Linked DNA regions of Schizosaccharomyces pombe. The gene in region 1 interacts genetically with each later gene. Each region holds a gene or a part of one and is shown on either strand. Other genes may lie near its edges.

What was found.
Region 2: mutations in taf51 (region 1) and spc2 together harm fitness more than expected from each alone (negative genetic interaction), as found in Schizosaccharomyces pombe (one large-scale study listed by BioGRID).

What each region holds. Positions count from the first base shown.
Region 1 is NC_003423.3:3,031,539-3,036,542, forward strand, and holds taf51 (transcription initiation factor TFIID subunit taf73), read left to right. Parts: upstream 1-2,168; 5' UTR 2,169-2,342; coding exon 2,343-3,815; exon of another isoform or gene 3,816-3,871; coding exon 3,872-4,327; 3' UTR 4,328-4,401; downstream 4,402-5,004. Other genes in the region: protein mug98, read right to left, coding at 212-519, 558-591; SPOM_SPBC15D4.13C (ASCC1 family protein), read right to left, coding at 954-1,172, 1,223-1,284, 1,351-1,684; pho2 (4-phosphoerythronate phosphatase/2-phosphoglycolate phophatase, involved in detoxification of glycolytic by-products), read left to right, coding at 4,590-4,668, 4,716-4,784, 4,824-5,004.
Region 2 is NC_003424.3:3,862,395-3,865,447, reverse strand, and holds spc2 (signal peptidase subunit Spc2), read left to right. Parts: upstream 1-1,943; coding exon 1,944-2,447; downstream 2,448-3,053. Other genes in the region: ribosome methytransferase Hpm1, read right to left, coding at 1-925; protein Sil1, read left to right, coding at 2,713-3,053. UniProt on the Schizosaccharomyces pombe protein: Component of the signal peptidase complex (SPC) which catalyzes the cleavage of N-terminal signal sequences from nascent proteins as they are translocated into the lumen of the endoplasmic reticulum.

The DNA.
Region 1 (5,004 bases):
CTAAAGTGCTTGTATACCATAGCAATGGATGAAGAAAATAATTAATGGAAAAATCATTATTGTAGACATCTGATTAAAGAAAAAAATAAAGAAATTAAGACTATGAAATTCTTTTTCCTGGTTTTTTAACGGCGTCGATTATAACCATAATGATGAAGATGCGGTTTTTGAATGAAATTGAAAAAATTGGCACAAAATTTTGAAAACATGACTAATAATAAACGTGATGGTAATTTCCGTTTGGACCATGCTGCATATAATACGGATTCGCATACCACAAACCATTCTCACGTTTGGTAAACGGACGATAAAACGCAGAATATGAATGGTTTATTTTAGCTTCAACATTGTATAGAGGGGGAAACTGGCATGTTTCTTTACGATTATAATGATTTCTACTTTTTCGGTGATTAATTTGTGGAATCCAAGTTTTAGCTCCGGGGTTCATGCGAGAAGTATTTGCTCGAACTTTCAAAGGAAGTTCTTTTCGGAGGTATTCTTCTCGGGCTTTAAGCGCAACTAATAATTAATAATTTAACATAAATTAGTCTACTTACGCTCATGCTTTAACTGCATTACCGGAATGCTCATTGTGTCGACAGCAATAGCCTTTTGCAAGCAAACTATGAGATGTGTTAAAAGATGTGAATGGTTCGTTTATTACCTTCAATTTTGTCTTCCATTGTCAAATTATCAGCATGTATATGTGAAATCAATTATAATAAAGGATCTCAAAATAATTTGAATAGTTTCCAAAATTTCAATCAATTTCGAGAAATGATGGTAAAAGGAGCTATATTATATATTTGTGCTTCGTCAAAACAAAATGAGTTATAAATTGCACCGATATTACTTCTATGACCAATTTCATATTTGTTTACACATGTGACTATCATGTGGTAAACAATCGATTCCAAAAGCGTTTTTGTAAACAACAACTACTACCTTTATAATCAATCATTAACGAGTAAAGGAATTGAGGCTAACTCTTCATAATACATATTACCCGGTTCTCCAACAGCGCCTGTTTTCATAATACTTAGTTTATCAAGTTCAATATTATGAGCCCAAAGAAATTGACCGTATTTTTCCATAAAAGGTTCCGAATTAAAAAACCTGATACGTCGCCCCTGGTATTTTATATACCTGGAATTTAACAAGGTGCAGTGTAGCTAGTTTTGTTAGCAAAATTATAATTTGGTTAACATCGCATAATGCGTACAGTAAGAGGTCTAGCGTCTTTAGTAAAAAGATTGTGTTCAGTGAAAATAACTTTTAACCATTCTATGAATTAGCTTATTAATAAAAAAAATAAAAACTCCGTACCACAAAAGGCTTGTAAGTCATTACCATTATGCTTGTCCACTGGAGTAGCATACAGCACCTTGGCTTCCTGAGGAGATTTCCCAAAGAAAGAAGTTCCCTTTAAATCGATTGTAATCTTTTTCTCGCCATAGGATTTTCGGATTTCATCCTCTTTGTTGTATAAAAAATCCATGCACTTGAGAACGTCTTCGTCGTTTTTAACCGGGATCATACCAATAGTAAGATGTGAGACACGAGGGCCACGAAATCCAGATAATATCATGGGATCATTAGATGTTAGTTTAAAATACTTTAAAGATTCCTCGATATAGTGCTCAGATATCGGTAAGGCCAAGAATAACAAATTTGGATATCGCATAATAATTAACAGATTACTATGGCAAAGTATTCAAAGTAATTTATTTACGGAAAGTTGTTCTGCGGCTCAAACAAAATTCACTGATCGCTAATGAAATATGAGGTAAGAGGAAATCACTTACAAATTTATAATGTAATTAAAATTGACTACATAACAATAATCAGGCTGTACTAATAATAATGTTTAACAACGTCGTTTATATTGAAACGAAAATTGTTCTTCATCCTATCCATTGATTTACTATTGCTGAATTAACGAATTTCATATAGCGTCATTAAGAAATATTAAGTTGTCAAATCCTAAAATCGGTAGACTTATTAGTCTAATCTTTAGATGATAAAATGCGAAGCAGTTCATTTGATCATACATATATATCAACAATTCCAATTCTTAAAAAAATAAGAAAGATAGCTGCAATTATTAGATATGGTGAGTCAACGCTTCGTTTGAGTTTAGATACACAGTCCAACTAAGGATGCCAGATGGACTATTCAACACCACCACAAAATTATTAAAAGTTGTTAAACTATAGAAGAAAAATATATTATACATTCTTCTGAAAACGTGATAAGCCGAAAGATATTTTTTAACACTTCGAATACCTAGGTGGCAGTCGACACACGTATAAAAGAAGTAAACGCATGACTAACTACTAAAAATGGCTCAATCTTCCTACTCTTCTGGTAATTCAACTTCAGATTTAAACAAGATTGTTTTGGACTATCTGTTTAAAAAGGGTTATTCCAGGACTGAAGCTATGCTTCGGTTGGAAATATCCAGTGTTGGCGCAATTCCTGAAGAACAGCAAGACTGGCACATCGGTGCTTCTGAAACTTATGTACAAGTTTATATTTTATTAAGAGATTGGATTGATGGTACATTAGATTTGTATAAGCCAAAACTACAAAAAGTCCTTTATCCAATTTTTGTACACTCTTACTTAGACTTACTGCAAAAAAATGATCCCGAAATGGCAATATACTTCTTTGAATCATTTCGTATAGAGCATGAAGTGTTGCATGGCTATGACATTCGAGCATTAGCTCAGTTGAAGATTGCATCAGACGTTGAGGAGATAGAAATAGCTCAGCTTTATCGCAAAAATAAATACCGGATTAATTTCACGAGGTCTACATTTGATTTACTAGTACAGTTTTTGTTCGAAAACGAAGTCAATGGAAGTGGAATAATAATTCGCTTATTGAATCAGTACATTGATATAAAAATTACTATGCCTCAAGTCGAGGGCAAGGAGGACCCTAATGTGCAAGCGGTCTATGAAATGGACGAAGCTAAAAATGAACAGACAATAATTAGTGAGCAAGAAGGAATTCCTGGCCATTCCGAACAGCTTCTTGATTACAACAAGCAAAGCATACAACTTGGATTACGTCCCTTGTCAGAAGAAGTTGTCACAACTTTAAAAAACTTGTTAGAAGTAAAAGATAAAGACGTGGAGGGAAGAAATGAAGCTCTGAATAAAATATTGCATCCTGCAAAGAACCTTGTCGAATTGCTGACTGAAAAAGAAAATCTAATCAACGAATCAACTCTAGAATCACCATCTGATCCCCCATTACCTCCAACCAAAATGAAGGACATAGACTATTTTGTTTCTTTACTGGAAAGCGAACAGAATTCTTTAATACTCGGAAAAAATGCTACGGATCCTAGTGTTTTCATGTATACCATGCACAATACACTTTCCGCTGTAAATTGTGCTGCATTCTCTGATGACGCCTCTATGTTCGCTCTGGGTTGCGCAGACTCTTCAATTCATTTGTACAGTTCTACTAACAATGGTCCGCAACCATTAGTGGGAAGTCAAAATGAGCCTTTACAAAAGTCCTCTTTAATTGGACATACGAGACCAGTTTTTGGAGTGAGCATCTCTCCTCAAAAAGAGTTTATACTGTCATGCTCTGAGGATGGCTTTACTCGTTTGTGGTCCAAGGATACTAAGTCCACTATTGTCAAATATGCTGGTCATAATGCGCCGATTTGGGACGTTCAGTTTTCCCCTTTCGGCTATTATTTTGCAACAGCCTCGCACGACCAAACAGCACGTCTATGGGATGTTGAGCATGCAGCACCTTTGAGAGTATTTGTTGGACATCAAAATGATGTGGATGTAAGGAACTTTATTTAACTAACAATTCTTATGAGCAGTAACTAACCTTGATTTAGTGTGTTTCATTTCATCCGAATGCAGCTTATCTTGCTACAGGATCTAGTGATCATACAACTAGAATGTGGGACGTTCGCACTGGTGGAACAGTTCGCGTGTTTAATGCCCATCATTCTCCTGTTTCTGCATTGTGTATGTCTGCTGATGGCTTATCGTTGGCATCTGCTGATGAATCGGGCATAATAAAAGTGTGGGATCTCAGAAGTAGTAATCAGCACGTTTCATTCGTTAAACACTCTAGTATCGTTTATTCTCTTTCTTTTTCATATGATAACAAAATTCTGGTTTCCGGAGGTGCAGATACTGATGTTAACTTTTGGGATTTGACATACCGGAATAACTTATCGGACGGCGAACAGTCCCCGCTTTTATTCAATTTTAAAACCAAAAATACTATTATACAAAACTTAAGTTTTACTCGAAGAAACTATTGTCTAGCATTAAGCTCTTCCTAAATATCATGTACATTATGGCCCGCAAATTTTGTGAAAAAAAGAGATATATTATTTTAACGATAACTTTGATATTTGTAAATTTATTCATATTTTTTTAAAATACAATTATACGCAATAAGGTTTCGTAAAGTAAAGAAGATGTAAGTTTTAAGCTTAATATGAAGTCGATCATCACTATCAGAAAGGAACATCTAACCGAAGATTATAAATATAACGGATATGTCGAACGCCTACCACCTTACCACTTTAACCAACTTTAAGAATGGCTAAAAAACTTTCATCACCCAAGGAATATAAAGAATTCATTGATAAATTCGATGTTTTTTTGTTCGACTGTGATGGTAAGCGCTAGCAAAAATATGAAATCTATTTGTAGGCTAACACGCAGGTGTACTTTGGAGCGGCAGTAAGCCTATACCAGGAGTTACGGATACCATGAAGCTCCTTCGTTCTTTAGGTAAGTCCCTTTTATTCTTTTGAGTTAACTCTTTTACAGGAAAACAAATTATTTTTGTCTCAAACAATTCTACGAAATCAAGAGAAACATATATGAATAAAATCAATGAACACGGTATTGCAGCCAAACTTGAGGAAATCTACCCTAGTGCTTATTCATCAGCTACTTATGTAAAGAAAGTGCTAAAGCTTCCTGCCGATAAGAAAGTTTTTGTACTTGG
Region 2 (3,053 bases), on another chromosome or scaffold:
GAGTAGATGTCTTAATTGCTTTAAGAGAATTAGGGTCATCAACAAGTTTCTGCAGTCTCGAATTAAATTCCAAGATACTACCCCCGACTCCAAAATACAAATCCTTACCAGCAACTAATGCGAGATTTTTGGTATTTTTGAGAAGCATGTAAAGAAAGTTTTCGAGTGACGGAAGGGAATAAATGGTTTCAGAAGCTAAAACAAGAGAAAAGTAGTGATCTCCGTAGGTACGTTGGATTAACAATTGCATCTCTTCGCTCCAACAACCGCACAAGAATTCACAATAGATATTGGTACGAGCAAGATCATCACTAAATTCTTGTAGTAAACTAGGGGATACATCGATGGTACCATGCTTTTCTGAAGAATCATGTTCTTGAGTACAAAAGTACCAGTTTAGCAAAAGGTTAGGTAAAGTAACGTAACGAAGAACATCAACATTGAAATCTTGGAAAACCAAAGTACAAGGGATACGATGCTTGTAAAATTCCTGAAAACAGCTCAAAATAGGAATTGCACTTCCACAACCCAACTCCAAGACCGTCGTCAAGTTGTTTTTTACAACATCTATCTTCTTGATTTCATTAGCAAGGTCCAGGCTACATTCCCAAGTTTTGTAACCACCCTCGTAAACGTTAGGAACAAGATCATTACAACCATCTAAAACTTTGAGTTTATCGTCGCTTTCTATGGAATCATCTTGTTCCATCAATTGCATTTTCACATCCCATAATTCCCTTTGTACAAACGTATGTCCTAACCCAGAAACACGAGCGTATGATAACTTTTCTGGAATATACTTCAACATATGTCCCAGAGAATCCGATTCTATAGCAACGCTCGGTAACGAATCCGCACCGACATCTTGGCCGTTTAAATTGTTTGGTTCATCGTAAAAGCCAAACGAAAACCCATTAGCTTGCATATTTGCAAGTTGATTGATTTCGCAACCTGTCTTGGCTTTAGTAGAAATTGTATGTCTTGATCCTAGTGTAGGATTTTTGCGTACAGCGGTACGACTCGTTCATGTAGACAAAATAGCAAAACCAATGTGAAGAGTAAAGAAAGAGTAATTACAATGAATTAAGGTTAAAAGTTTATTGAATGGTTAATTAATCATTACTCGTGGATAGAGAGAAAAGTTCCATTTTCAAATTCGTTCATACATTTTATTTGTAAAAAAGGCGAATTTCAGAAATTGGATTTAGGATTGGAGCCCTCGCAAGTGGCTCTGTCTTGCCTAAAAAACATTTGTATCAAACGAAATCAATATGCTTTGTAGTTTTTGCAATCTAGCTTTTCCTATAGAAAATAGCAATTGCTTGTTAAACGGTTTGTACCGGGTTCCTTATCTTCATTTGCATAATAACTTACAATTAGCGAGTGAAAATTGAATAAATAAAAGCGAGGAATATGTTCATCGAGGGATATCACTATTGGAACAAACAGGTTTTGCGAAAGGAAATATCAATATTGTACTCCTCTATTTTTTTACTAAACGCCAAGTACTGCTACATTCAAACAACATTTTCCATTTCATAATCCTTTTCAACAGTCATTGCGATTGCAATTCTGATATTATTATCGAGACAAGGAAATGAGCATGATATTTTGTACCAAATTAATTTGTTATGAAACCCTTCCGCCAATTTCTATTGAGAATCCATATATATTTTTTATTTGGCTATTATTTCAAATTTATGGCTCGTTGTATTTGAAAGAGCATGATAGTATTATAAAGTACTTAGTAATCGACTGTTTTGCTTTCGTTCCAGTAGCGGAGTTCATGTTTTTGCTCTCAGGCATTTATATTAAATATTAAAACATCTTTTAGGTTACTTAATTTTAAAAAATCATCATGCCATCGTATCAACGAAACCGCATATCTGATCATCAGTAACTACAGCCTTGCTTCCTCTACCATAATTAAGCTAATAGTAAAAATGCCAAAATATAACGTTTCAGATTTCAAATCTAAATTTGATAAAGAATTAACAAACCATTTTAACAAAAATGGTTATAAGCAATCCTTTGTATTTGAAGATATTCGTTTGCTGATCGCAATAGCTTGCATTATACCCGCCGGCCTCGCATTTGGCATTGAGTATGTTTATGGTTTTGGTGTTTTAAAATCTTACTTAAAGTATCTTTTACCTTTATATTTCCTAGCTTCCTGCTTGCTCACATTTTGGTCTTCTGTAGTCAAGGGTAGTACTGTTTATGTTGCTACGAAAAAAGAAAGACACATCAAAATTTCTGCGGATACCTTTTTACCTTTGAAAAATAAGCCTCTAATCACTACTAAATTTACCGTACTCAAAAACAGAAATGCTGTTCAACTTGAATGGTCGGTTCCTGTTGCTCACATTTTTGAAGAAGATGGCCAAATATCAAGTGCAACTTTTGAGGCGGAAATTTCAAAGTACTTGTCTCAAATTGAAAACTGATTGAGCTCAATTTTTTTAATCAATTCTCAATTTGAGTTGTTGCCAAAAAGCGAAATACTCAATTACTACATTTTCGTTAGAAGGCTTCCATGCCTGCCACAACGTCCGTATCGTATTCTTATTTTTTAACATGAATTTTATTGCTACGTTTTCCATTTACCAGCGGCAATTGCCTAATCATGCTATGGATTTTTTTTTCTTGAAATCTATCCTACCATAAACCACTCTCTAACAGGAGTGAAAAAATTGGAGATTAATCGGTTCAATGTTTTCGATTCTGGGAAACTCGTCTAAAAAGAAAAGAAATACTCAAATTTACAGAATTTTTTTTACTTTAACATTCTCTTTGTCGAATCTATTTCTTGCAATATGTTACCTTTTTTTGAATGTGAGGACTGTAAGCTCAGATTCATCTGTTTCACTTTACGATAGACAGTTGTTCGATCAGTCATCTTCTGTAATTTTAAATCCTGATACTTCAGACCCAAGCATTGTGTTGTCGTCTTTAGAAACAATGCGTGATTTGGCTCATGATATAAAATTTGGTCAGGATGTACTTGAACAGCCTCTGTGCGATCAACTTTTTGTTTTGATGGATGGGAAAGA